Linked DNA regions of Alligator mississippiensis. The protein of the gene in region 1 purifies or fractionates together with the protein of each later gene. This does not show direct contact. Links are inferred from orthologs where the notes say so. Each region holds a gene or a part of one and is shown on either strand. Other genes may lie near its edges. The genes, in order: ZFYVE16 and TOM1.

Region 1 (15,406 bases):
GGAACTTTCAGGAACCTAACCCCAGTGGCTGGTGGGGGAAACCTGTATAGCATAGAGAACTCACCATTCTTTCTATATTTGTTGAAGTAGTTCAAGAACATCTATGTAAACCCAAAACACGGAGAGGGTGGTTCAGGTGATTAGTCTGACCTGGGCTACACTTGTGATTCTTCCTTCGTTGTTCTACAAGTATAGTTGCCTCTAAATTGGGACAGTAAGTTACAGTTTTTATTGAGTGAGCTGCCGTCAGTGGGCTCCTCCTACTCAACCTGTCATTACCCCCAAATTTGGGCTCGGATCTTACTCAACAGATTCTTTTGCCTTCGTTGAGCATTTTAAATTACCTTTAGGAAACTTCCATATCACTGCAAATGCCCTTTTCTTACCAATCTGGTCAAAAGGCCTTAGGGTTTGATCTCTCGGAATTCAGGATATTTGCTCTCTTTGTAAAAGGCTTCTAAAGATAAAATTTAAATTAAGACTTTAAACAAAGAGTGGACCTTTTGCACGTAGTCCCAAAACAATGACTTAGATAAGGAGATAAATCTTATCTTCTTCCTGAAACTGGCTAATGAGCAACCTTTACAAACATTCAAACTATTTCATTCAATATGACATCTATGAAACTGTGTGTTTTCATGCAGTTATACATTTTCCATTTTATTCACCCATGTTTACAATTGGAAGACTGTTGTATCATTAGTGTGGGCCAAGGCATCCTTGTAGGTAAAACTGCATTATTGCATCCAGTAAAGGAAATGATAATTTGAGTTGCACTTTATCTATGAAAAGGTGCAATATTTTGCTTTAGAGTATGTCTATAAACCTAAATTCAGCCTTTTTTTATCTTCTTATAAAAAAACAAACAAATAGTGTTCACATTCATGAATTTCAGGTGAAATTTACTCTTTTCCTTAGGACACATCACTTCACAAGGGAACAAGAAAAGTCTGGGACAAAAATTAGCAGGCATGCTCATTTCTGATGCAGACTGTAGGAAAATAGAAGAATTGCATAATCCTCATGAAGCACTTCGGGTGTTAGTAGATTTGGTTAGTATCATGAAGAGCATTCAAGGGGCATATTGGGCCTTGGCATTGCTCTCCTTAAATGAATGTAAATACTGTTGATATACATGCAGTGTTTTGTTCTTAATTTATAAACTTGTTTTCATTTTTCTTTTTTAAATTTTCACATAGCTGAATGATAAAGAGGAAGCTTTGGCTCATCAGAGGAAGGTTAGTTACATGCTGGCCCGTGCAATGGAATTAAAAGAGGAAACTTCAAAGCAAAGTAAAGAAAATAATCTTTCAGGAGAGAGCATAACTCAGAAGAACTGTCAATACAGCACCACAGAATCCCAAGAATCATCTCATTGTGCAAATTCTTGTTGCCAAAATCCCGGTTCTCAGAACAGCACTTGCTCAACTTACAATACAAAAGTATTTAAAAATTCATTGAAATCACTTAGAAAATCATATTCCTGGCCCCCTGGGACCATGTGTTGTAAAGAAAATGATGCACACAAAATGGGTAGAACTACAGATGTCGACTCTACATCTTAAATACACTTGGAATTTAAAAAGTAAAAGTAAAAGAAAAATGTTTGGTAATGCCAAGGGATAAGGAAACCTGCAGAAGCTGGATGTTATCCAGGAAGTGCCAAACATGTAAATGTTACATTTGTAATCAAAATCCCAGGAAAATCTGTTTTATAAGCTACATATATGCAATTATTTCAATGCTCAGGTTAAAGAAGTATGCTGCTTTAAAGTTTTAAAGCTCTTCTGATGCTGTTTTCATACTGTATAACGCTATAGATTGTTTGTGGCCTCTGTCCCTGTTAAAATGAAAGGTCAGGATCAGACATTTATGGCACACTTGGTCTATGAATTAATGGAAGTTGTTGTTTTTACCCTTTTTCATTCTTAATCGCGTGTTATATATGCTAAGAAGTTATATCAGGATTGGGAAAGAATCAAAATGTCTATATTGTCAATACAGAACTAGAAAATCCCAAGAGTCAACTGATTTTGTGCATTTGTGTTGCCAAAATCCTGGTCCAACAGTGACTCCAAAATGTGTGGAAAATCAAGAGCCACATCGTGTTATAGCTGCTAATGTCAGTTAATGAACTATAATAGTACATGTATTTCAGAATACTATATGTACAACACAGCTCCTCTGGAAAGAGGTTTTCAGATTTGAAATTCCAGTATATAGCTTTGTAGTTTCAGAGATTGTGTTGTATTATGAGTGAGTTAAACACATATTTACATTATGAGAGATTAATTTCCTGAGCCTATAGTTAAACAGGAACTGTTTACACACAGTCTAAAAGCTGCTTTAAAATTAGACTTCCTGGAAAATAACCTTCCAATTCCCAACTGATTTTTCTCATTGACTGAAAAAACCCGAAAACATTTAATTGTTTACTCCTAATATTTAGTATATTTATAATGCCTTTGGATGTTATGAATCCTTGATGCATTTGGATCATGTTAGTCACATAAAAACCTCTATTTCAATATATAACTTGTTGAATTCCAGGCAACGTGGCAGAATCATTTGTTTAACAATTACTGCTATTCATAGTGTTTTACTTACGGATTAATACTTGACTAGTTAAAAAGTTGGAAAACCAGAAAAATTTGCAGAACTGTTTATTTACTGACTAGTATTCAGTCCTTTGTATCCAGACCTATTCTGATGCAACTGAGGATGTATATGGCACACAGCGACTATTAAAGAGAACCAAGTAACTTTTTAGATTTTGTGTGTCTAAGCAATGGAAATATGGAATGAATAGTAGTTTCTGCTAAAGGGAAGCTCAGGATTAGTATTTAATGGTGCTGGAAGACCAGTGTGAAAACCAAATGTGTTTCCTTGAAGTCTTAAGAATTCTGCTGTTAATTAGAAGTGTGATTTAGGCCTAACTATATTAAGAACCTGACCAAATTCAAGCACAATGGGGTAGTATAGCTGGGGACCAACTTAATATCTGTTAAGTCCAAAACATGCTTAAGGTTCTCTTTTAGTGAAACATACTTAATAGTTTATTGCAGCCCCTTAGAAAAGTTAACATACCTGTGCAAGACACCTGTGCGTGTACTATTGTTGGCTCGTGCTGTTAAACATTGTTTTAGAGACACTGAATTTCGTCACAAATGAGATGATGTTGCTGGACCCTATCCTATTCCCCTCAAAGTCAGTGGTACAGCATGGTCCTACACTTTGATTAGGAGCTCTGGGTACTACCACCTTACAAGCAACAAATAATAGAGCTTAATCAGAAACTTCTTGCCAGTCATCAGGTTAGCATCTGATGAACTAGGTTGGTGCCCATGAAAGTTCATGCCTTTCTGAACTAGTTACTCTTTAAGGTGTCCCCTGCCTGACTTCAGACTAACACAGCTAACCAAATCTCTGGTCAGAAGCTTGTTTGAAACCAAGGTACTATTGATATTTTTTATAAATTGAACTTGAATTATTTAAAATGTTTATTTCTGTTAGACTACGTATATTTCCAGACTTGTGAAATCCTATTTGGCAATACAGTTTTATGTATCTGTGACTATGCTAAGCAGCTCTTTTATTCCAGTTCTATAATAAATTCCAGTAAACTTTGGTAATTCTTAAGAACAGATTCCCATGACACAAGCATCTTAAATTATACAATTTCTTGTTAGATCAGTCTGGTGAAATTATTTCTTCTCAACTTCATATTGTTGCTAGTCAAAACGTGGAAGGCAGCATCCATCTTTCTTAGCTTTTTGTATTTGTTTCAGCATCTTAATGGTTATTACATATAATTGTGAACTTTACAAAAAAAAAAATCTTATTTTTAGTTTTGAAAATGAAATTCTTTGTTAAACCAGACTGCTACTGTTGTAGCAGGATGAGCAATATATGCATGTGTGAGAGAGTGTCCTTGCACAGTAGTGGCCTACATTTCAAAGGTATTATGTGGACATCAGTGGAAGATTGAGTTGCTCAGTACCTCCTAAAGCGGGGTTATAAAATGTTTTAAGTTTTATTTTGAGCTTTGTTCATTTTTTTTGTCTTTTTTTGAATGGCCAGTTTATCAACTCAAATTTTTTGCACCCACTTTCCCCAACTTTTGATTCTGTACTGTCAGATTATGTTCTCTGACTGCCCCTTCCCTCCAACTAATGTGTTCCTAAAAATGGTTCCAGGAATACATGCATCCATCATTAGCATGTATTCATAATATGCATCCATAATAAATAAGAACAATCTGCTAATGACAGTCCATTAGTTATACAAAACTTTGAACAGTAGGTTTTGATCCTCCCCTCTCAGGAAATAGTTCTCAAAGGCAAAATTACTTGAGCTCTACTTCCAAGTTGCAGCTTCCTTAGTATATCTGATAATAAATGCTGTTTCTGGATTAATATTCCCTTGAGGTAAATTGGAGACATTGATGATGGGTAGGCTCTTAGCAACAGGTATTGGTTTACATTTAGACCCTGTTTGGAAGATTATCTTCATGGTAAAGACTATTTTTAATGGATGTTTAACTGCTGGGTTGTAATTCCAAATAACAGATTGGATTTTCCAGCAAATTATGTGGCCATGACACCAGAATACATGGAGTCCTGCCATTTATCTGAGGGGGGGAAATGTCAGTATGTTCAAGCTTATTTATTGAAGGAGCAGATGTGAGGTTTGCAAATGAAGTTCAGCATGTCATGAATATAGCTGTGGCAATAAGTGTAGAAAAAGAAACCTCATTTGTACCTGTGGCTTTCCTTGGGGTAGTATATTTAAAGGTATAAAACCAGTACTGTTCAACCTTTCCCTTTGCTTAATTAAGGGAATAGTGGAAGGAAGGGAATGTACATGCATCTTCTTTTCCAAGGCTTAGCTGAAAACTACTATAAAGTAAAAAACAAAAAAGATATATCTATTTTGATCTCTGAGTATGATAATCTTAAATGGACAACATGGAAGAAGCTATTGCATATGGTACTGATGTCAGTCTTGCTCGTGATGGAATGAATGGACAGCAATGGGAATTCTTACCATTCAAACACCATCTGCTCTAATGTATGATGTAACAATGGAAGGAGGCATGCCAGCCTCAAAAAGGGAGCAGCTTTGTTCATTTTTGGTGTCTTTAACTTTATCAACTATCAGCTTTTTTTGGCCAGTGTGGTCTATAACGTCACCAATTAAATCTAATATGCCTTCTGGCCAGGTCTCCCAGATGCCACATGCATGTGCGCAGCCACAGCATGTATGTGGCCAGGAGTGCAGCTAGGCAGTGTGGAGAGCAGCACCCTGCAGGCAAGTCTGTGGGGGCACGTGGGATGGAGGGGCAGATCGAGGCCCCCATGATGACAGAGGGAGTGGGGCAGGGGCTGGGGGCACTACCCAGTCAGGGCAGTGAATTGGGACCCTGGAACCAGGGTAGGGAGCAGGATGGAGCTGTGGGCGGGCACAGCTTTTGAAAGGAAATAATATTTAATTTGAAAGGAAATAATATTTAAGGAAATAATATTTGTCCAGAGGGCACGGAGGGTGAGAGAGAGGGACAGTTCCGTGCCACTGTGCGTAGCCCCCAAGGGAGGCATGGGGGGCATGTGCCCCCCTGGATTTGTGCATGGGTTGGAGGTGGGTTGCCCACTGCAGACTTGGGGCTCTCTACCCTGCTACCTTTGTCTTGGGAGCCGTGCGCTGGCTACGTGTCCCCTGTCCATCTGGCAGCAGTGGTGGCGGTGAGTTGTCCCTCTTGCTGCCAGGTGGGCAGGAGACCTCCTGCGTGGCTTCTGGGCCAAAGGCAGCAGGGTGGAGAGCCTCAAGCCCACAGTAGGCAACCCGCCTCTGCCCTTGCCCCGCTTGGATCTGCTCTGCTCCTAAAAAGTCGCCACACTTAAAAAATGGTAGTGGCAGCGCTTGAACTAAAGCTCATTTGACAAGCTTTAGTTCAAGTGTCCCCACTGCCATTTTTAAGCACCCAGACGCTGATCCCCTGGACAAGCTGCCTGCTGCTTTGTCCCACTCCCCCACCCAGGCCCCAGGTCCCATTCACCACCCTGGATGGGCACCCCCAGCCCTTGTCTCTACCCCACTCCCTTCCTCATTGTGGGGGTCTCAATCTCCCCCCACCAGACCCCTTCCCTCCCCTACACTCCTTTCCCTCCACAGACTTACCTGCAGGGAGCTGCTCTTCACGGTGCCTGGCTGTTCTCCTGGCTCATTGGCCAAGAAAATCTTTTATCAGTGCATCCCTAGCTTTTTCCTTCATTGAATCTGGAGACTGGTGTATACTTTGGATGTATTAATTCTATTCTTCCCTTGTGCTTCTGTCCCTCTTGTACATCTCTTTGTTTAATTCCATCTCTTTTCTTGCCATATTCCAAGTCGGAAGCTTCTTGGGGTAGGGATCACCCTATTTAGCCTGAGATTGATCTGTGATATGATGGTTTTATAAATCTAATTTGAAAGGAAATAACAATATTCAAGACAGCACAATTTAAAATACAGTTATTTCTGTTTGGTGTGTTTGATTTGGTTTCTATGGCAATAAGCCTTTCCAAGATTTAATTCTGTATGCTTATTGGTGTCTTTCTCACAAGCCTCTATGATCTTGTCTTCTTTCTTGTTCTCTGTCCCTTGAAATTGTACAATCCCTGCCTCTTGGAGCTTGCTTTTTTCTTTTTAAAAATCTCTCTTCAAAGTTGTATGCTGATATAAAAGTATACCATAAATCATAATGACATTGTTAGTTGTGCAAGTGTAGCTCTGGCCTTGGATCATTGTAAAGAAGATCTCGGAACAAATTCATTCTAAATGTACAGATTTAGGCTCCACAAGAGCATAGGCTGCAACCGGATGGCATTCAATTTCTTTTAATGATGTGAGCATATTTTCTTATTCTTGAAGAAACTGAGCTAATCATAGAATCAGAGAAAACTGGAGTTGGAAGGAACCTCATCTAATCCAGCTCCCTGTGGATGGCCCAAAGAAGGGCCATCCTCAACTAGATCATCCCAGCCCAGGTAGACAAAGAATTGGCTAGGAAGATACAGTTGGGGCTGGTCCTGCTTTGAGCAGGGGGTTGGACTAGATGACCTCCTGAGGTCCCTTCCAACCCTAATTTTATTCCATGATTCTATGACTAGCTCAGTTCCTACCTAAAGGGCTTTAAAAATAAGAAAATATGCTCATGTTGTAACAAGCTTGTAAGATGATGATTTTTAGTGTCATTTTTTAACTGAATCATTAGGAGGGATGCCCCTGTTCTTTGATTTAAAACCAGCATGGTAGACTGTCTCTGTCCTCTGTCTGTTATGGTAAATTTATGGGAAACTGCCTCTAACTGGACGAGCAAAGTGGGGAAAGGGACTATCCGCAAATTTTTTTTTTTAACTTTTTGTAGCTGCCTATCTTGAGACTCTGAGAAGTGATTGCTAGAATCATGGAAGTAGGGTTGGAAGGGACCTTGTAGATCTTCAGGTCTGACCCCCTGCCTGGGCAGGAGGAAAACTGGGCTCAATTGACCCCAGCCAGGTAGACATCAAGCCACTTCTTAAAGACCCCCAGGGTAGGAGCCAGCACCACTTCCCTTGGAAGTTGGTTCCAGATCCTAGCCACCCTAACTGGGAAGTAGTTCTTACGGATGTCTAATCTAAACCTACTCTCCAACAACTTGTGGCCGTTATTCATAGATTCCTTGTTATCCTGGGGGGCGCTAGGGGAAACAAGGTCTCCCCTAAACCCTTCTGGTCCCCCCTGAGACTGCTTTTCCAGCTACAGCTGAAATCGGGAGTTTTGCTTTGGTCGTAAGAAGTGCTATAAAAACATAAGTATGCTGATCTAAGGGCCCCTTGTTGTTCAGGTCAAGGCATGATAGGTTCTGATGTGCAATGCACACAATCATGCCTCCTGCTATGCTGTTCATTCTACTCTTCCCTTGTGATGCTGTCCCTCTTGCACATGTTTTTGTTTTAGTTTCATCTTTTTTTCTTGCCATTATTCTAAATTGGGTGCGGCAGGAAGTGTGATTGTGGGGTCCAGCATTGGATCCTATCGCCTTAATGCTGGTGCAGTCGTGCTCAGTCAGGGCTCAGGTCATGGCAGGACTCCCATCTGTGCGGCACCTGGTGCCCTTGGTCAGTGTTTCTCAACCCATGGGTCATGACCCCAAACTGGGTCATAGTAATATATGAAAGGGTAGCAAACAAGCTTTTAAAATGGATTCTCCTTTAAAGGAGAAAAACATGGGGAAACTGTGGGTTTCCCCTTGCAGGCTGGCAGAACTTCAGGGTGTGAGGGGCTGCGTAGGGGCCCCCAGCCCTACACACTGGGGGGTTGGGGCAGCGGGTAGGAAGTGAGGGCACAAAGTTGGGACTGGCCACCCATGTTTGCAAAGGGGTCTTGGTACAAAAAAGATTGAGAACCACTACACTAGGCAGCTGAGGGCTGCCCTGTCAGCTGATGAGACTCGCAGCCTCAGACCCTGACGTGCAAATTAAACCATGTAGTAACCAGCTATAAATGTACAGGCAGACCTCAACTTATGTTTTGTTACAATGTTTCGCACTTACAACATTTATAAATTGACACTTGTTTCAACTTTCTGACATCAGTTTCAACTTCACAATGCTTGATCTGATGCGATGCCACACCAACGAACAAGTTTGCGGTGTCACCCGTGTCCCTGGAAGACTTCTGTCCAAACTTCCTTGGACACTTTCTTTAAGAAAGCAGCCAAGACTCCTGAGGAGGCTCCAGCCAAGAGCCCTTCAAAAAGTCCAGCAAAGTCACCTCAACCCAGTCCTTCCAAATCACTAGGATTCCTATTTACAATATAAATACATTAATGTAGCTGTGTTACTCATCCATAATATTGTTTCCTATGGAAAAAAAGGTTCCCAGTTGCAAGGTTTGAGTTAACGTGCACGTTTCAGGATCCCATTGTGTCCTTAAGTCCGAGGACTGCCTGTATTGCATATTTTCCAGCTGTAACTTTATAACTTTTGATGGCTTGATAATTGCTTTGTTGAATGAGCCACTTAATTGCATCATGCATGCAAGACGTAGAGAGGGGGCTTAAGATGTCACTTCAGCGCAGGGGGTGGAAAATGCCCAGTCAGTAAGGCGTCAGCCCGCCTGGAGGGGCAGGGGCAAGCCCCAGCCCGCGCGTGTTGCCGCCGGTACGACACGAACGTTTGGAGCCGCGGCCGGAGCCCCTGAGCTGCGACCTAAGGCGGCGCCAGCGGCGCCGCGCCCCGCCCCGCCCCGCAGTGAGAGCAGCGCACCCACCCCTCCGGGCCCGAGGGCGGCTGGGGGAGGAGCCCGCCTCACGCCCCGCCCCCTCCCGTCTCGGGGCTGCCACGGCTGAGCAGTCGAGAGGTCCCTGTCTGCCGAGGAGCGTCGGGACGACGCATGCGTGCGGGGAGCTCCGCCCCGCTCTCGCGCCCCGCCCCCCCCCCAGCCCCGGGAACGCAAACAACCGGCCGGGCCGAGCCAGGCTAGGCCTTGCGAGCCGCGTCGGGCTGAGCGGAGCAGAGGTAGGAAGGCTCGGCTGCTTCTGGCACGGGGCCGTGGGTGCTGCCGGCCGCCTTCGCGGGGCCCCGGGCTCCTCGCCTCCTGGGCGGGCGACCGTCCCTGCGCTCCGGCCGTGTCTCGCCCCTAGAGGGGGCCGCGGGAGGGCAGGAGGGACCTAGCGGTGACGGGGCTTAGCCTGGGGGGGCCCTGCAGAGAGGGGCTGGGTCGTCCCTGGGGCCCTGGGCGATGCCTGTTGTCGACCTGGGTGGGTGTGGGCGTGGGCTCCATCTCAGTTTGCTCCTTCAAGTGCAGCAGGCGAAGAGCTGGGCTCTGCTCCCCCTGCCTGAGCTCTTGTGAGCTTGTTTGGTGCCCTGCATCCTCTGCAGGAGTCCCTTGGCAATGAGCATAGGAAGGCCTTCCCTGGGGTGCCCTGCCTTGGAGCTAGTGCCAAGATGCCACTCGCCAGCACCTTCTTCTGGAAGAGCAGTTACTGCAGCTGAACAGGGCTTGGACAGCGTGTTACCGTTGCCCCGAGGCTTGGGTCGCTTGCAAGTTTTCTAGTGTGAATCTGGTAAGATGGGACTCCATCCTCCTGCAGATCGTGAGAGATGGGCCCCTGCAATTGCAAGGAAATGCTTGTCTGCCCTAGCATAAGGAGTCGGTTAGCTCTCAAAATTGTTTAAGTAATCGTTCTCCTGTGACTTGTTTTCCAAGGCTGAGTAATACAGACTGATGCAAAGAGGAATATGAGAGTGAGGTCTAAAAGGCTTAATTGTTCTGTCCGTCAGATGGATTCTGTGCATGCTGGGCTGGCTATTGATGGTGCAGCTGTGCCACTGTTGCCCTGGAATGGTAGCATTGAAAACCCATCATCTGTCATTCAGACAAGGTTCCTTGGGTGAATTTGATATCTTTTATTAGACCAACCCAAATAGTTGGAGAATAGTTATTAAGCAAGCTTTCGGGTTCAAAAACCCTTTGTCAGGCTAAGGAAGTTCCAGCAGTTGGTGTGTGCTCTTCCTGGATGAAATGACAAGTAAAGAAGCCAGGGGCTGGGCTGGGGAGTCAGTTGCCAGGCAGATTGTAATGTATCAAAAATCCAATGTCTATATTTAGTCCATGATCTCTAGTACCCAGGAGGTTGATGAAATGGAGCTCATAGGCTCGTCTCTGGGAAGTGTTGTGTAAGTTTCCCTTGAGGATCAGGACTGAGAGATTGGAGAGAGAGTGGCCCTCCTGTGAGAAATGTGCCCCCACCGGTAATTGGGTATTTCCGTCTTTGATAGATTTCCGGTGTGCGTTCCTTCTGGTGTGGAGTTGTTGTTTGGTCTCTCCTACATATTTTCCATCAGGGCACTGGGTGCATTGGATGAGGTATATTACATTTCTGGAGGTGCAGCTGTAAGATGCAGGGATGCTGATGGCTCTGTTGTGGGGTGTAGTAATAGTGGGGGTGGTGGAGATGTGTTGGCAGGTTTTGCATTTCCTATCATGGCACAGTCTGGATCCTTTTGGTGTGTTCTGGGCTTGAGGAAGTTTGCTTCTGGTGATGAGGTTGGCGAGGCTCAGTGCTTGTTTGAAGGCTAGGATGGGTGGCTCTGGGAAGATCTTTTTAAGAATAGGGTCTCTGTCTAGTATGGGTTGCAGTTGTTTGAGGATTTTCCATACAGGTTCAAGGGAGGGGTGATATGTCATAAGCAGTGGTGTGCGATTTGGGGGGGGGTTTCTTCTGTACTGCAGCCGTTCTTCACATGGTATCCAGGTGGCTCTTTCAAACGTGCGATCTACCTCTCTGGAGGAGTGTCCTTGCTGGGTGAAAGCCTTTTTAAGATTGGTGAGGTGGCAATCCCGGGTGTTCTCTTCAGTGCAAATGCGGTGGTATCTGAGGGCTTGGCTGTATATCACAGCTTTTTTGGTGCGTTTAGGGTGATTGCTGGTTCTTTGCAGATATGTATGTTGGTCTGTGGGTTTCTTGTATACTGTGGTCTGTATTTTACCCTTCTGGATACTGATCATTGTGTCTAAAAAGGAGATGTTGGTGCTGGAGTATTCTAAAGAAAGTCGGATGGAGGGATGGTAATTGTTGAATTTCTGAGGGAACTCAATCGGAGATTGCAGGTTTTCAGTCCAAATGATGAAGATGTCATTGATGCATCTTAAGTATAGCAAGGGTTTGATGGTGCAGTTCTTGAGGAAGTCTTCTTCCAGGTGGCTCATAAAAAGGTTGGCATACTGTGGGGCCATTTTAGTGCCCATAGCTGTTCCCATCATCTGAAGGAAGTGTTGATTATTAAAAGTGAAATTATTGTGTGTGAGGATGAAGTGTATAAGGTCAGTAATATCTTTGGGTCTGTATTCTGAGTTGTAATCTTGTTCCTGTAGATATGTAAGGCAGGCTTGGATGCCATCCTGGTGTAAGATGTTGGTATATAGGCTGGTAACGTCCATGGTGGCTAGGAGTGTGTTGCTGGGAAGGTGGCCTATGTTTTTAAGTTTCCGTAGAAAGTCTGTAGTGTCTTGTACAAAGCTTACTCTGTGGGTGACGGGCGGTTTTAGGATTGATTCAACGAAACCTAATATTTCCTCAGTTAAGGTCCCATGGTTGGATATGATAGGTCTGCCAGGGTTCCCTTGTTTGTGGATTTTAGGGAGCATGTAAAAAGTCCCCGGGTTAGGTAGTGGGGGGATCAAGGTCTGTAGTTTTTCTTGTAGTCTTGATGGAAATGATCTGATGGTATTGTTGAGTTTTTTGGTGAAAAGGGGAGTAGGATCTTCTTGTAGTTCTTTGTACTAAGTGGTGTCAGAGAGCTGTCTGTTGGCTTCCTTTATGTAATCCTCACAGTTTAGGATGACTATGGCTCCTCCTTTATCTGCTGGTTTTATTACTATTTGGTGGTTAGATCTTAGAGATTCTATGGCCTTTTTCTCTGGTAGAGAGAGGTTGTTGTGGTGACGTGTGTTGCTGATTATTTCATTGTTCATTCTTTCCCTGAAGCAGTCAATGTAGCGGTCAAGGTTAGGGTTTCGTCCACTGCGAGGTTTCCAATCTGATGTTTTTTTGGGGCTTTTTGACATTGATCCTTTCCTGAATGTTGTCAGAGGATGAGTTGTTGTTGGGAGTGGGTTCAGTTTGGTTGTGGAAATATTCTTTGAGTCGCAGGTGTCGGAAGAATTCTAGTTCTCCACATTGAAGTATTTTATTAGGGTATTTTTCTGGACAGAAATTTAGGCCTTTAGAAAGGACAGATATTTCAATTTTGGTAAGCGTGTGTGTGGAGAGATTGATAATATTTGTGGGTGGGTTGCTGCTTTCAGTTTCATTGAGTCTGAGGTTGGAATGTTGTAAGGTGTTGGTGTTGTTCCTCTGGTTGTTTTGTGGCTGGGGAGCTTGTTCTTGGAGTAATTTGTTCCATTTCTTCTTTTTATGTAGGATGAATGCTGTAGAAAGTTTTTTGTAGTCTCTTCGTATCCACTGTATATTGTCAGGGAACATGCATGGATTTCTGTCTTTTAAGTTGTTGTAGTATATGGTGATTTCCTTCCTGAGTTGGTCTCTTCTGGAGTAGAGTAGATGAAGTAGATGATTCCTAATTTTCTCTGAAGTTCTTTTGCATAGCTGTGAAGCATATTTGGAGTTGTGTATAGTAGTCAGGGGATTGTAGATGTTTTGTCCTCACGGAATGAAGTTGTGTTTCTTGCAAAGGCTTAGAAAATATATATCGCTGTTGAGTTTGTCTTCTTTCTTTTTCATGTTGTACAGTTTCCATTTCAGACGGCTGAATTCAATATCTTCCATGTTGCAGGGGTTTAGGTTGTAGCTGTGTTGGTCTAAGGACATAGGCAGACAAGGTTCCTTGGGTGAATTTGATATCTTTTATTAGACCAACCCAAATAGTTGGAGAATAGTTATTAAGCAAGCTTTCGGGTTCAAAAACCCTTCGTCAGGCTAAGGAAGTTTCAGCAGTTGGTGTGTGCTCTTCATGGATGGAATGACAAGTAAAGAAGCCAGGGACTGGGCTGGGGTGTCAGTTGCCAGGCAGATTATAATGTATCAAAAATCCAATGTCCATGTTTTAGTCCATGATCTCTAGTATCCAGCAGGTTGATGAAATGGAGCTCATAGGCTCGTCTCTGGGAAGTGTTGTGTAAGTTTCCCTTGAGGATCAGGACTTCTTCCCCATTGCATGGCTCTCTTGGTACCCTAATCCTGTGAAAAGTCTAAACTACTGGGAGTGAAGGAAACCTGTTTAATATGTCCTTACACCTCAGAAAATTTTTCTGGTAAAATAAGTGGGCCAAGCAAGGATGACTGGCCTTTATCTCAGATACAACTTTACAGTTGGAGTTCTCTTTGTTGTGTTGTTTGAAGTCGTGTCGGTAGTAATGGTATGCTGTGGTTGGGGTATGGACACATGCGTTTTCCATGCAATATACTGCAGACAACACCAGATATTTTTTCCTGCTTGCCAAAGCACTTTTGAAAACATGGCTCAAATCCTGGATATGCTATGGAATCCTTGAAAGGCTCTTCTCGAAACTCTGGATTGCTACCTCTGCCCATCTACTTCAAAAAATAAAATCATTTAGAACTTAAAGTTGCTGTAGCTCTTTCAAATTAACGTATAGGACAATTTATAGCATATAAATGGTGGCTGCAGTCCTGTATGCACAGTACATGCTGATAATGTTTCCTCAAACGAAAGCTTGAACTTTAGCAAAATGTTTGCTTTTATTTCTTTATACAGCCTTTTTGTTTTTTGAAATGTAAAATCTTGTTTCAGGAGGAGTTTCTTGATGCTTAGCTTTGTCACATGACTTGACTGAGGCTCACTTTATTGTACACACTACAACTTTCTACTTTTTGAGCTTTTTTTGATTCTTATCTTGGTTGAAGGGAAAAAGTCACTTGATCATCTTTTCAAATTGTGCTAAACTCTGTTAAGTGATTTATACCATCTAAAGGCCAACTTAAACTTTTTTCTATGAAATACTTTGTACAAACTATTGTATCTTCACTTACTTCCTGGTCATTGTATAGTACTAGCTGACTTTGAAATTAAATGTTGCTTGATGATTTTTTTTTCTTTGCTACAAAAACACTTGAGTAAGTTAGTAAACGAAGAGCCAGTTCTAAATTAATAAATTATGTAAAAACTTTGAGACAGTCTAAAGTTTTATGATAGGTTTGTTTTAAAGTAGATCAAATGATGACTTGGAAAGGTGATACACACTTGTAGTAAGTTTTCCTGTAACACATTAACGAGCAGCATTCTTCTTGTTCATTTGCCTATGCTGGGCACTCCCATTTACAAAATTTAATGGATTGATAACTGAAAGAAAGCTCTTGATAACAATTGCACAGAAATCCTTGGGGTCAGTTTCCCACCCCTACCCCCTTTCTTCTCAGTAAAATACTTGCTTCTCTCTGGTTAATTGCTAGCTAAAGACAACTAAGCGCTAAGTCATTGTGAGCAAGATTTATGTGTATTTATCCACTTCTTGAAGTTACACTTTGCTATACATCCAGGCAGAAAAAACAGCTGATGGCAAAGCATTATCTGATTGTTAACTGTTGATATGTTGGGGTCCAGGATCAGGGCCTTGTTGTATTGGGCCTTGGGCAAATGCAGATGTTATATCATAGCCAAGTGGTGTACTGCACCCCACTGCTGGGAATTTAAAGCTGTCTCTTTTACAGATCCTTGCTTCTCATTAAGCATGAGTTCAGTGGTTTTCAGAGCTGCCTGCTGTAACTGCTTGACTGAATTTGGGGCAGATAGTATATTAGAGACATAAGTGGCTCAGAGAGTTATAAGGTTTCATAGAAGGCAGTCTTGATCTTCAGGAACCTTATACCTCAGTGATCCAGTAAAATCTGTAAGGTGCTACT
Region 2 (14,722 bases), on another chromosome or scaffold:
CAGAAAACCATGGTAGCAACTGTGGTTTTCAAAGTTCTGGCTAATCTGCTGTACCGAGGCTCTGTGCAGCCCCCTGAAGGCTCCTTGGAAGGTCAAGTGATCTTTTACCCCTTCAGGAATGAATCATAAACAAATGGTTCCTTAGGACATCCTCCTTACTGTCTCCTCTAATACGCCAGTCAGCACATCCTGCCCACTACCAACCCAGCACAAATGCCAACGTCATCAGAAGTTCCACTGCAATGTGTCACCTTCTGCATTGAAGGGCACAAGTCATACTGCCCTTGCTACGCTGGAAAGACCTTGGGCAAGACTAGCCTGTTTTGTCCTCCCCACAAATGCAACAGATCACAGGTGGAAGGGGCTGCTGGAGAATCCTTGGCAGCAAGAGAAATGGGACAGTGGGGTGGAGGGAAAGCTGCTCCTAACCATGAAGCCTTCCTTTCAGTTCAAGAGTTCCTCCAAGCCTCTCCCTTCAATATCCTTCCTCAACAACCCTGACCAGGATCCCCAGACACTGTGCCCCCACCTTCCCGAGCCAGATTTCATAGGGTGACTTGTAGCACTGCTTGTCCTGCACAGACAAGCTTTCAAGGTCTGGATGGCGTTTACTTTTCAGGAAGAAATGCAAACCAGCCCCACATGCTCCTCTAGCCCAGCTGCTCACTTACAAGGAAGAGAGGACTCCAAGCAAGCAACCAGTATGGACACAACTGGCTTCCCTACAATTAAGCAACAGGCCACTGATTCTGGCACCCTGTCCAACAGCAGCTGATGATATGCTTTGGAAGGTGAAAAGCTTGACAAAAAAAGATCAAGGGATGCTCAAAACTCTGAGCAGTGCAAGAGTGATGTAGCCGTGATGATCCAGAAATGAAGTGAGAGGCAAGGACCATCACAACTACAGCGTCGCCCTTATACAACCATAACATGGAAGAAAGCAAAAGTCTGAGAGCAAAGAGGCAGCAACCAGACACACAGACAATATGACTGCAACTGTGACAAAGCACTAGAAGGCTATACAGGTGAAGGGCTGGACCAGCTGATTTTAAAAAGGCCTAAGGGAAAGCTGGAGTTAACTCCCTTCTAATGCTTCTCTGCAGCACGGCACTACCCAAGATTAATAAGAGAAGCTGGAGTCCTTCCTGAGAAAGGAAATCCTCCTCTTTACCCTTCAGTTGGAGCTTCGGGGAAAAACAAAGTCTACTTATTGGTCACGTGATGGATCAGTATGCCAGGCCCTGCTTCAGAAGCTGTAATTAGCACATGAGCTGTCCACAGCTCATGCAACATGATCCCCGGGAGCCCAGCCACTGAGCACAACAGCAGCAAGTTTTTAAAAACAGGAGTTGCAAGAGCTGGAATGCAACTGGCCACTGATTATTTCTCACGTAGGGGTCACTGGTGCACACAAACCTGACAGGCTGCTGAACACGGTGAGCTGACAGCATGTCTGCCCTGCAGAAACTTCAGCACCGCTTTATTTTGGCAGCAAGCCCGTGTCCCGGGTGTGGCAATGTTGGGGTTCATCTTACGCTACCAAACGCTGTGAAGCTGGATTGCTTTACAGGCCAGTCAGGTTAGTCCAGATGTCTAAGGCTCTGGCATGCTCCCAACTTGTCCTCTTTAGTCTTTCTACATCAAACGGCAGTCGGTGCCAAGGATGATGTTAACAAAGAATATTCCTTTCAGCTGGAGTTTGGAATGATCCTACTTAATCTGGCTAAGTTATCAAAGCCAGTCCTGTTCTAAAGCTTGGGAGCTAATGCCAGACCTGGGATGAGTGGTACAATGGAGTTGACCCAGTTCATACTATGATAGAATCTGACCTTTCTTCCTTTCCCAGCCTATTGTCTCATCTCCATAGTTGGGGAGGGCTTGTTGACGGATTTATGATGCCATCCAGCCAATCCTGTGGCATACAGTAAAGGTGGCAGGGAAATTGAGGAACTTGAGATAGAAGGCACCAAGCACCCTCTGTGACATCTGCCTCGCCTCCTCACTTTACCCCCACAAAATAAAACCAACCCTGTTTGACACTTATCTTGCTGGGATCCTTTGACCACAGCTGACTTCCTGCCCCTGGGGCAGGGGGCTGGACCCGATGATCTTCCGAGGTCCCTTCCAGCCCTACCGTCTACGAAATCTATGAAATCTGTTCGCATCCCCCTCCAGCCAGTCAGCCTCCAGGAACTTCTCATCTCAGAAACCGTCGGTTAGCAGGTTAGAGTCTACTACCTCCTCCTTACACTTTATCCTGTGATCTAGTCCACGCCCTCTGCCAGCATTCCCTATAGTGCTTTATCCTTGCCAGTTTTGAACAGCTTTGCAAAGTAGCAAGGGCACACTATTCCCGCATGCTTTCCTCTGAGTTTGGAGTGAGCTGCTTTTCATGGAATCACGACTTTGGAGATCCACGAGAAAGCAGCACCAGAGACACAGCACCCGAATCCAAGTTCTTCCCACCTTCTTTTGTACCTTGCAGTCCCTGCCCACACCCTCTCCTCTGGTGGCGGACTGTGGGAGAGGACACACAGGCACAGGCAGGACTCCACAGTTCAGACGTGAGCTGCATAATGGGAAAGGTTTCCATTTTACAGAAAGGGTTGAGGACACAATGCAAGGCTGAGCATCCACAGACACGTTGCTTGAATACAGCAGAGATTTGTCCCTTGCATTTCTGCCTATGGTCTCCTCCCATCAGGCAGTGTAGCTTTTTAGGAAGCACATGTCTCCTCAGACAGCTCCTGCTCTCTGACCTCTCTCCTCAGGGGGTGCGCGTGGAGGTGCGGTCATAAAGGAACTGTTAACACTTATCTCAGCAGCATCAGCATTGAAGTGTCAAGGAGGAAGGGGCAGCTCTCTGCTTCTTCAGCCTTCCCACTCCTGAAACTCCAATCCCACAGAGCCAGGATGAAGGGACTATGAGGTGGTGGGTTAGGGAAATAGTGCATCATCTTCCCTTTTTTCCTTATATTCCTTGCAGGGGCTTAGGCATGTTTTATTTTTATTGGCTCCCTTCTGCACACCACAGCAGTGGGCCCCAAAGCTTCTCTGGCCATTGCCATCCCCTTTCCCTTAGTTTTCCCTGAAAAACAGACTCTTCTCTGCTTCCTCACTTCTATCCCTATTCTCCTTATCCTCTCCATTATCAATAGCAGACCTTTCCTACCCCACCCTCTGCACGGATGTGGTAATTTTCTCTAAGCTCCAAGTGTCAGGGCCCAGGGCTGGACAGTATCAATGATTCCCTACCCCTTACTCTCAGGCTTCTGGGACTTGCAACCCATGGAAAGCTTCCTTCCTTGTATTAATGTGTTTCTCCACAGTAGGATTTCTTGTAGTTATTAGACAGAAGGCAGGGCAGGGTGGCACCTTAGAGACTAACTCGCCTATGGGTGCCAACCAACTTTGTCCAAGAACTACATAGCGTTTGATGGAGAGCCCAGAAATCCTCTCTGACATACAGAAAATCCATACAGTTTATAGTCTGAGTGTTTTTTCTGGGGATTTGGACGTTCTTTTCCTGGGCAAACTTTCATTAGAAAAAAAAAAAAGTTCTAACCAGGTTGACTGGGAAAAGCCTGTGGGATATTACAAGACAGAGGTTGATCCTGTGATTAAATTATAAGATCAGAAGACAAGAGAATCCAGCTCTCAGCAACCAACTCACTCGGAGACACAGGGCAAATCATTAAGTTTCCCATCACCCCTGTTTCTCTGATTGCAAAATAAAGAGGACACTACTATTTTCTGACTTCAAATTTCCTACCTCAAGGGGGACTTGGAACAAAATCTGGAAAGCTGATAAATATTTTCAGATGCAGGCACCCCATGCATGCAAACCATTTGTGTTATAAACTAAAAAATATCTTTCTTCTCAAGGTGTTTTATAACTTTGTAAATCATGGAGACACATTGACACACTTCATTCATGTTGCCCTTTAGGAAATTGCATGATTAGCCTTCAGAGGCTGCAGACAGCCTGAAACCGTGGCTTTAAATTGGTCAAGACTTTGGGGCTCCACTGTGGAGTTGGGGTCTGTATCCAGAGCACTGATCTGCCATGAGACTCTGGGGAAGCCACTCTCTGTGCCTTGGGTCCACTCATCTGTCAGGTGAGGTTAATAATATTTATTCTTGTCACAAGAATTTTGCTAGGCAGAACTCCAAAGAGGGAAAGCACTCCCATGAATGGTTCCTTGCTGTATCCCCATCACTTCTGATAACTCACAACCAGGTGCAGCCCACCTTCTTCCTTACTGTCTACGAGGCTTCCACTCTTGTGGGCTCTCATAACCCTTCTTCTCCATCTGACGCATGCAAGGCACTGCCAACACTGGGCTCTCCTCTCCGATTCTTCCGTTACCAGCCCTGACTACTCTGACCTCTTCCCCTTTGTTGCTGGCGGTCAGCTGCAAACCGTTTTTTCCATCATGAGCAGAGAGAAGCTGCTTACAATCTGGGTACTCTTCTGATCAAAATATCTAGGGGTAGGGAAGGGAGTGGAAACCACCAGCATCTAGAAGCGAGTAAAAAAAGCAAACCAGACCAAATTCCATTCACTCCAGGAAGCAACGGCCATTTACACTAGAAGCATCTGTGAGAACGCTCCTCCACTAAACAGAGCCTGTCTGCATGGATGAAACAAATACAAAAATAAAAATCACACACACCTTTTCATCCCTGAAGGAACATGCCCTTATACGATTAAGCCAAACTGATCCTTTCCCCCCACATTAATGGGTTGCAAGCTGCATGCCCAGCTGCTGCCCATCCTCCCAGTGTCCAGCACTGCTCTATTAATATAGCTTGTGTCATTCTTTGGTCTCTTTGAAATGAGTCGCACTCACAAAAAAATGAATGTGGGGGCAGGGAGAACAACACTTTTGAGGTGTAAAAACATGACAACTGCCTGGGTGCTCAACACTAGCAATATGAGTGCATGCCTGGGGACATGTGCACAGTTCCAAATATGCTTCACAGCACAGACTTCTCCCCCACTGGGAGAGGATGAGACCAAACCTATGACTAATGTTAGTCATGTTGCTACTAGATGGCATTCAGATATTACAGTAATGAGGTCTGAGTAAGAAGCTGATTAGGACAGAACGTCATGGCAAGGCAGGACTAGGAAGCCCACTGGAAACTTTTGGTTGGTTAGGAAGATGGGTAACAGAGGGTTTTGGTCACTGGGGAAAGCCGAGAAGAGAAGAGAAGAGAAGAGAAGAGAAGAGAAGAGAAGAGAGAAAAGGGCTGGTGGGGAACAGCTGTAAAGGAGGAATGTACACAAATGCTCTATGGGGAAAGGAACACAGGTGGTCCATGTGTACAGGAGAGGCTGCCGGTCGACGATTTCTGTGATGAACATGCACTCTGCTTGTCGTTGGTTCAGTTATCCAGTGGCTTCAGACAGTCAATGTCTGCAAGAGGCAATCTGACCCAAAACACTGTGGAACAGAAAGGCTGAGAGAGAGAGAGAGGACCAGCAATCAAGGCAGCTGTCAGAAAGACAAAGTCTCTGAAAACCTAATTCCTATTTCACACACACACACACGATATGTAGAAAGACCATACATAGAGAACCATAGGAGAAAATAGTACCTAACCCCTTTTAAAACTTCCTGGGAGCACCCCGCTCCCTGCCCCGTCTCTCCTACCCTTTTTTGTATTTCAGCTCCAAAACAATTTTCCATTCTTGTCTACAGTTTCTTTGTGCCCCTTCTCTTTAGAGCAGTACCTCCCCGCTCTTCTCTCAGGTTAAATGACTAATATGACGACAGGGAACGTTGTTCTCTAAAGTTGTGCAAGGTCTCGGATTAGGCCCAATCATGCTCCCTCCACGTTTTTGGGCTTAACTGGTAGCTCTGACTCCCTGCCTTACTACAGCCTTCATGGGGCAGGGGATAATGAGGGGTCATCTTCCTAAAAAAACCCAACATGGTGGTAAATCCACCCTGCAATAAAACAAACCCCCAATCCTGCAAAAAGCTGAGGCAGGTGCCTAGCGCTGGTAGCAGAAATCAATCCTGGCCAGAAGCTGTGCAGCGCAGGGCCATGGCATCTGCATTATAACGCTGATCTGTGCCAAACCGATGACACGACGGACACATGTCCAGTCTGGCCCGATTTCCCTGGGTTTTGCAGAAGCTTCCCTGCCTAAGGGGTAACTCTGTGAGGAGCTGCTGGAGGCAGGGGGCACTAGCAGGGGAGACAGCGCTCTGGGGAAGGGTTTCTGTTGCCAGGGCTGGGGGGATACATGGCACTGCTCCAATGCCAGGCAATGGATACGCCACCCACCTCTGCGCCCAGCAGCTGGTTCTGGATCTGCAAGAAGCCAATGCCTTGGGGGTAGCCTAAAACCTAGAAGCAAGAGTGCAGGGCCCTGCTCCATACTGAGAGCGAGGTGCAGCCTGCACCCAAGGGTACCCACCCCACCTCCCTTCCTCCAGGGACACCCCATGCCTCCCCAGCCAATCAGGGAGCAGCTTCTGGCCAAAGAAAGCCAGGGGGAGGGACGGATGTCAAGCAGGCAATTACTGCCCCGCCTGCCCGCAGGGGGCGGGGCTCAGGTCGCGGCACCTTTAATGCGGGAAACTTTCTCCGCCGCCCGCGACCCCCTCGCGTAGGGATTAGCTGGGAGGGCGGCCGCCACGGTTCCACGTCTCTGGCCCCTCCCTATTGGTGGCAGAGCGCCGTCAATCAAAGCACCGTCACTTCCCCATTGGCTGAAGTCGCGTCAACCCCGCCTTAAAGAGGGAGTAAGTCCCACCCCACTCCCCCTACCACGCACCTACTCGGCGGCTAGCGCGGTCACTTTCTGGGGGAGGGGGCGGGGTCGGGGTCGGGCCGGCTAGTGGACGAGTCCAAATGTCAAGGACGTCGTGGGGGGGGGGGGGGCTTGGGGGCCACACTCACCGATGCGCTGCCCCACGGGGGAGCTGAACGGGTTTCCCAGGAGAAACTCCATCGCGGCCGCCGCGCACCTCGGCAGTCAGCTGACCGCCAGCGCCCGTCACGTGAGCGTCGCGGGGTGGAGCTGAGGGCCCGGCCACCTGTGACGTCAGCGGCGGCCGCTTGTGATTGGCTGGAGGGCGAGACCCCGGTTGAGTACGTTCTCCGCTCGCCTTAAGCGGAGTGGTGACGCCACTGCGCCTGCCGTGACGTCACAGGCGCGTGGCACTTCCCGGCTCCCTGTATGGACAGGGAGGGGCCTGATGGGGCGGGGGAGGGGGGACATTTCCTTACGCTCTGCAGGCTCCCTTAGTGGGCCTGGCAACAGATGGCAGCCTGCAGGGGGCGGCCCTGACTGGCTAGCCCAGAGGGCTGGGGGGCATGGTGAGCACCCAATCTCAGGGGGTGCATATGCACCCCTACGCATCCTGCATGGCTAAAAGTGTTCAAAATGTATTTATTTGCACATATCTAGTTGGCCTAATAAAAGATACCACCTCTTCCACGAGTTTTGATTCCTTTTGCCTCTAGACCAATAGGGCTACGACTGGGATACCTGACAAAATGTGCAATAGCTTTTGATGCAGTTAATTGATGCAGCATCTATAAAACGCAAGTCACTCTCCGGTAGGGTTGCCAACCCTCCAGGATTGCTCTGGAGTCCCCAGGAATTGGACACGAATCTCCAGGAGACTGCTGAGAGTCACCCAGGAGATAAATGATAGGGCATTCGTTAAAGTGTTGAATCCAATTTATACAGTGGGATTTTAAAATGTACTAGTCATGTGCATTTGCCTTCCTGATGTAAAATCTACACACTGTAATCCATAACTGACATACACAAGCATGCGGGCAAATGCGTGTTGTGTTGTGGGCATGTTGGTGTTCCAAAAGCCTCCCAGAATAGATCCAAACTGTTGGCAACCCTGCTCTCAGGGAATCTTAACCAACTTCTGGGTTCATGCTCAGCAATTGCTTATGCCTGCTTGCCTCAAAACTTCAATTTTGATGACCCAGTTCTCACTCACTGGGGACTTCCAGTGAGCAATATGAAGTAACTGCAGAACAATTTACAATACATAGACCTGAAACACAAAACAGAGAGAAAAGACTAATCATAGCAATCAATTCAGTTTAACCAGTTGGAGAAAGAGTTAAACAAAATGTCATAGTGTCAAGTGCAGTGCAGGATGCAATGATACCAGTATAAGGCAGGAGTGGGCAAAATGCGGCCCGGGAGCCAGATGTGGCCTGCCAGGCCATTCTATCCAACCCGTGGGGCCCCTAAAAAATTTAGAAAATTAATATTAATCTGCCCTAGGCTGCCTGTCATGCAGCCCTCGATTGCCTGCCAAAACTCAGTAAGTGGCCCTCTGCCCAAAATAACCGCTTGCCCCTGGTATAAGGCAACATGATGTTACTTAGTTGTATACTTAAATTTTTTCAGTGTATGACAGTTTTTCTGAAAATACAATCATTTTGAGCTTCCAATACAATATTTTCATATTTAAGACCTGGTAACACTGTTCCCAGGAGACAGATGGCAGAGAGAAGTAAAGCTGAAAAGGATCTTAAGAGATCATCTAGTCTAGCAGTTTGCAACCCCCAGCACGTGCCAGAGCACAGCACGCAAAGCCATTTTGTTCAGCTGGCCCCAGCTCTGGGCAGGCCTCTACTGTGGAGCCCAAGCTGCTTGCAGAGTCTGGTCCTTGAGCCACAGAGTCAACTACAGTCAGCGCAGGCCTTTCAGCAGCTGAGAGGAGGCTGCAGGCTAGGATTCCTCTCCTCCTTTTCCTTCCCCCACTCCCTCTCTTCCATCGAAACAGACTAGTGCTTGGTTGAGGCTGAGGAGTCAGTTGACAGTCAGCTCCAGTTGACAGTCAGCTGGGGCTCTTGATGTCAGCATCTATTTGCTTAGGGTGTGCCTTCAATGTGTCATCATAGCCTTTTCTCTGGCCACTGGGAAATCTCAGGCAAGAGAGGATATGGCCTTTACACCCCTTCCCACCATGGCCCACATTATTGGTAGTACCATCCCCCACCACCACACCTCCTTAGCAGTACCAGTTGTCACCTCTACTTGCGAATCCTTGGCAGGAAGGGACCAGGGACAAAAAAAACCCTCTCTCTCTAGCAATTCTTCCATAGGAGAAATACTGCAAGTTGCAACAACACCAGTAAGAACTTCCAGAAAATGTGCCCCTTGCTGTAATGTTGCACATGTAATAGGTCTGTTAAGAGCACCAAGGCCATTACCAAGTACCAATCCTCATTTTGACAAAGCTGCCTACTCCAAATGGCAAAGTCCAATTCCACATTGCTTCCATTTGTGCAGATTGTGTTAGCTCACGCTGCAGCCTCTGTAAGATGGACTGAACACTGGTTCTTCTGCCTCTGTGATTAGCCTGGCTTGTTAGCTCTGTTGTGGTCACAATAGTGGGGATAGGGACAGCTGAAAAAGCAATGGAAAAGCTACCATTTTTGCAATGGCGACTGCACTAGCAAGCCTAAGACCCCCACTTCCATGGTTTCAAATAAGCTGATACCATGTCTAAGTAGTAAACAAGCATGTTGCATGAGGTGAGCCTGAAATGGGGCCTGAAAGTCTGTAGTCCTTACAATGAAGAATTCCAGGAAAACTACTGCTTAAATGTGTTGAAATGGTTGTGGGTAGGTGTTTCCTGGTTATAACGTTATTTTCCTTTGAACTTGTGTTGAAATGTCTCCTTACAAAAAGTGCAACTTGAGTTGGTGAGGAATCACATTTTGCATGATCATCATATATTGGGACATTGCTACACAGAAGTTTTGAGCCTATAACTGAGTCTCTCTGCTCTTGAAAATAGGGTGTTTTGAAAGAGTATTACAAGATGTGATCCTGCCATTGCTGAGGGATCCTGAAACACTTGTATCATTTTGCCTGCCATTCACTGAATGGTAAACAAGGAGAGGGGCAGGCAGATAACCTGGTACTAGGGCATTTAAGTGACAACCCTCTGTAGTCATGCAGGTCTTTTACTGAGGCTGCTAAATGGTACAACTCAGTAATCTCCAAGTTGTATTTCAAGCAGCCTTTCATTAGAAATAAGACACTGAAGTACCCAGCCAAGAACCACAGGATGGGTCTAGATTTCAAATACCAGAGACATTTCATTCCATAAAACGAAATGCTAGGACAGCTAGAGTAGTGAGGGAAGTGACAACCAGCAAATTACAAATACCAAGCAAAAAAATAAATGACACAAAACTCCAAATGTTAAAAAAAATTATATTGTAAGTACAGTACAAAAAGTTTCTTTATACAATTGTAATGCAATCTGGATCAAATGGCAGGAAAATAACAAAAATATAAAAACTGCTAGTTCTCAGTCCAAAGTTTTTCCCTCTAGTACCAAATACCACAAGATACAGATTATACAAATGTGTACAAATTTTAAATAAAAATACAATACATTAGGGTTGTGTGTGTGTTTCTAAACTCTTCAAGAGTTTACTGTTATACAGATGGTAAAGCTAAAGCTGATCCCCTTCTGTTCCTTAGATAGAGATCTGCAAATCTTTTTCTTTGATACAATACTCCATCTCTTGTGGAGAGCTGGAAATGGAGCCAAGCATTTTATGCCACTTGCAAGAACCATGGTAAATGTCCAGATCCAGAAGCCAGACAGACTTTCCCATATCTCCAAGCTCCCTCAAATTCTGCTTCAAATTAGCCATATCTGGGTGAGAGATTTCTGCCTTATACTGAGGTTCTGAAAGAGTCCTGTTCCATCCACCAAACCAGCCCTTCTGATAGACAAATAAAAGCAACACTGAACTGGGAAAAGGGGAAGCTCTGCAAGAGACAGTAGCTGGGAAGGAAACTGGCAGGAAGCCCCTTCCAGGCACCTGAAGATTGGCTTTAAAATGAAATAGATTTAGGTCTCAGCAATAATGAGGAACAGCTCATTTTCAGCTGCCCTGGAAAAGAGAGAAAGCACAATTTGTAACAGCACAGAAGTGCTCTGATTCTGCTACTTTAACATCTGTAATGTTATAATGGAGGGCGAGGCCAAAGCCAAAATAAAAGGCTTCCCATTTCAGCTTCCACCCAACATCACTGGACACCCTGTTGGCCACAAGGGCTCAAAGTTTTGTTGGCTGCTATTCCCCCTTGCAGAGCCTAGCTTTGCCATAACAGATGCAGCTTATTCCTGCAGGAACTAGGGATGGGCACAGCTGATTCATATTTTCCACACACTTGGTGGAGGGAAGGACTTTTGTTTTTAAATTATATCTATATACACAGAAATATACAGGATAAATTAAAATCTATTACAGATATTGGTAAAAGTTAAATACACAATATGGACACCACGCACACATACACACAAGCCTATGTGAGAATCAAGTGCTTTCCTGCAACTCACATTGGAGGAGCAGGAGCTTGGAATGCCAACATGTGGCTGTGGGGAGCAGGGATCTGTCCAATGAACCCATCTGTGCCAAACCCAGCAATAACTCCTTCAATCTTTAGCATTAATTACTTCCTCTGGAGAATACAGCAGCACCAAGAGGATTCCATGCCTCTTCATAATACTGCTGGTGAAAGGGATGGGATCAGCAATCTTAGAAACTAAAAGTTTTCTACTCATAAAACCAGTACACGGACAGGGGCAGTGCAAGCTTTTTCCTCCTCTAACTGCTTCTTCCTTGCCAGAGTGGGCTAGCCCTCCTCTGGAGGAATTCAAGGGAGGTTCAATCTTCCATAATCCCAAATTCAATCTTTGGCCCTCTGCTGAGGATGCAATCTTGAGCTAATGGCAATGTAGATGCATGCCCACTGGAAGAGTCCAGACTCCTTGCCATCTCCAGGACTACTTTAATGCAAGCTACCAGCCAATTGACAAGAAAAACTTTCAGTCACTTGTGACTGGCTTGGGGGGATGGGAAAGAAGAGTGGAGAGGAGAGGTGACCAGAGGTGGTAACCTCAGGATTTCAACAGGCATCCTGTTTTCTCTCACAGACTGAAAAAGTGTTAGAAACAGGGCTGGTGATGTGTCAAGTGCTACTGCTTGGTCCAAAATAAACTAGCTTGTCTATCCATCATGGATAAACAGTCAGTTCCCAGGCCAATTCCAAATAAAAGGTTTCTTTGAATTTAAGGCTGATATATCAAAAGCTTTCTGACGTCTAATCACACAAACGCCTTTAGATTGGAGAATGCATTGAGCAGGTCACTCCCACCAAATTGGAAAGGATTCTCTCAGCTTATACTTCACAACTTTTCATAAAATTAATAAAAGTAAAATAGTTACAATCCTATGTATATACTATACAAATATAAAACTTTAAAACCCTACACACGGAGCCCTTAGAGTGCCGGTATAACGTGTATGTACACAGGTCAGTTACACAGAGGTGTGTACATCCCAGGGTCCTCTTCTGTCAAAGTCCAGGCATGATGTAGGCGATGTTGTCGAGTGTGTTTGACTGGGAAGAGAACATGTAATATTCTTTTTAAAAATGGGCTCTGACTCAAAAAGCTACAGAAACAAGGCTTTAATATAACACAATAGACTGGAGAAATCCCCGCCTTGTCATACAAGCTCCTACATGACGAGACCAACCCAAGTCAGAAGTCACCAGCACTCTAGGCCAGGGGTTCCCAACCCCCGGGTCGCAACCTGGTGCTGGGCCATGAAGGGTCGGCTGCCAGTCTGCAGGTGGGCTGGCTGCCAGACTGGAAGTGACTACAGACCAGCAAACTGCCGACTGGACATGACCTGCATACTGTGGCCTGGCAGCCAACCCTTTTTTATACTGTATTCAGTACAGTATTCAGTATAAAAAAGGGTTGGCTGCCTGCCTGCAGTATGCTGGTCACTTATGGTTCACAGTTTGCTGGTCCTCAGCATAAAAAGGTTGGGAACCCCTGCTCTAGGCTAACCAGCAGCCATGGAAATACTCTGTCTACTGCTCAGTCTGCTTGCAATCTCAATGCCTGGGAGCACAACAGGGGCATCTAGAATTAAGGGAACACTTCCTGTTGTTCTTAACTGCCTCTCTTACCCTATGTAACTGGTCCTAGAACTAGTGTGAAGAAACTCAGAAGAAATCCATATCCAAACCATATTATCCAGAGGGAAAACAGCGATAAGGGATCCAATTAAGGTGATGGAAGGGATACCAACGAAGTCCCAAACGCACATACAAAACCTTTGCTAGAATTTGCAATGTGTTAAGCTAAACAGAACAAGTAAACCACCATAATCCGTTTCAGATGTAAGGTGGGAGAGAGAGTTTCTCTGTGTTCCTAGAGTTTCCATACAAATCAGGTGGAAGTTTGAAGGACAATACAGTCCCCTGTGCCTCAGTGAAGACCATACAACTAAGGTCTGATTCCTGGTGTGCTGCACTCCCAAAGTTCATACTCAAAGACAGAGGAAATGGATTCTTTGCCAGTTTCTTGATTGATCCTACAATTTAGCAGCACCACCTATTAACTGAAAAGGTAAACTGCACCACAAGCACAGACACATCTAGCCTGCTTTGGGGACAAGAGAGTTACAGATGTAGATGAATTCTTGATATTAAAATTAGTCTGCTAATATCAGAGAAGTTCTCCAAGCTCCAGAAGTGAAAAATTAGCACTACCTCATCTAACACTCCCTAACTCTTTACAGAAATAAGAGGATCAAGCTGTCAAGTCATACACTGCATTAATGATGCTAGAAGGGTGTCAGAGCTCATAATGCTTTGGGCAAGGGAAAGCAGTACAAGAAAAAATGCCCAGTAGTAAAGTAGTCATAACTTGAGCAGGCAGGAGTACTCAGGTGACTCAGTTTATTAGAAGATATGCCAATAGCCAGCATGGGACTTCATGGCAGAACCTTTGTAAAACATGCCTGTTCATGTCACATCCACTGCTTTCTTCACATTTGTATTGCTATTCTTTTCTCTTGAATCAGACATGATTTCCCTTTGCTTTGTTCTACACATTTTGCTTCTTGTGACTTCATTTTTCATTCTTCTTTCAGTCCTCCTTTTTATTCATGTCTCCTCCTAATGTGGTCTTTTAAATCGCCCTGTCTGCTAATGTAATATGTTCTGTTTTTTCACTTGGATTCACACTATACCGGAGCTGCAGGATGTCTGTTCCCAAATGAGGGTTCAATAGCAAATGTGTTTCCGGCATGCAGGAGAGAACATGCAGCTAGCACCCGGCTATAGATGGACAAGAAAAGGTTTATCTTTGAAGGTGTTCAGTGCCACCCCTCACTGTTAGGAGCCATGTGCTTAATTGCAGTCACATGAACAATGCACACATGACCAAAAAAATTTAACAGGTGGGTGTATAGACCAGCTGTAGGGCCTGTAAATTCTTATTGCAAACTTGCATTAAAATGTCTAGTATGCATAGTTGCTTTATCTGCTTGAGATTGAGAGTTTCAGTCACTCAGAAATAGAAGCTACAGCTACTGTAATAAATGGATTAAAAAAAGACCAGCTTCCCTTGAATGGTTAGCATTTCCACAGCTTTCACTGAAAACTCATTAGGCAATGCCTTCTCAGAGAATTCTCTCATACATCCCACCCACAATAATAGTGCCCTAGCATGAAGTTTTCTGCACTGGAGACTCAGTGTCACAAAGCTCTGCCAATCAGAATTTTAACTCTCTTCCCATAAAAATAAGTAAGTCTAGAACCAAAATAAGAATCACATGGAACTCACCAAAACTTGCTTGGGGCAGCCATTCAGCTCAGGCAGTTGTGTGGTCAAACATG

The links.
Region 2: the proteins of ZFYVE16 (region 1) and TOM1 purify together in Homo sapiens (affinity purification with western blotting; 3 studies listed by BioGRID and IntAct, with this or other methods). This does not show direct contact. The link is inferred for Alligator mississippiensis from reciprocal best matches to the Homo sapiens genes ZFYVE16 and TOM1.

Annotation. Positions count from the first base shown.
Region 1 is NC_081826.1:251,064,681-251,080,086, reverse strand, and holds the start of ZFYVE16 (zinc finger FYVE domain-containing protein 16), read left to right. Parts: upstream 1-9,436; 5' UTR 9,437-9,539; intron 9,540-15,406. Other genes in the region: CCDC125 (coiled-coil domain-containing protein 125), read left to right, coding at 919-1,052, 1,200-1,565.
Region 2 is NC_081827.1:101,665,615-101,680,336, forward strand, and holds the start of TOM1 (target of Myb1 membrane trafficking protein), read right to left. Parts: upstream 7,029-14,722; 5' UTR 6,971-7,028; coding exon 6,919-6,970; intron 1-6,918. Other genes in the region: HMGXB4 (HMG domain-containing protein 4), read right to left, coding at 12,383-12,427, 14,670-14,722.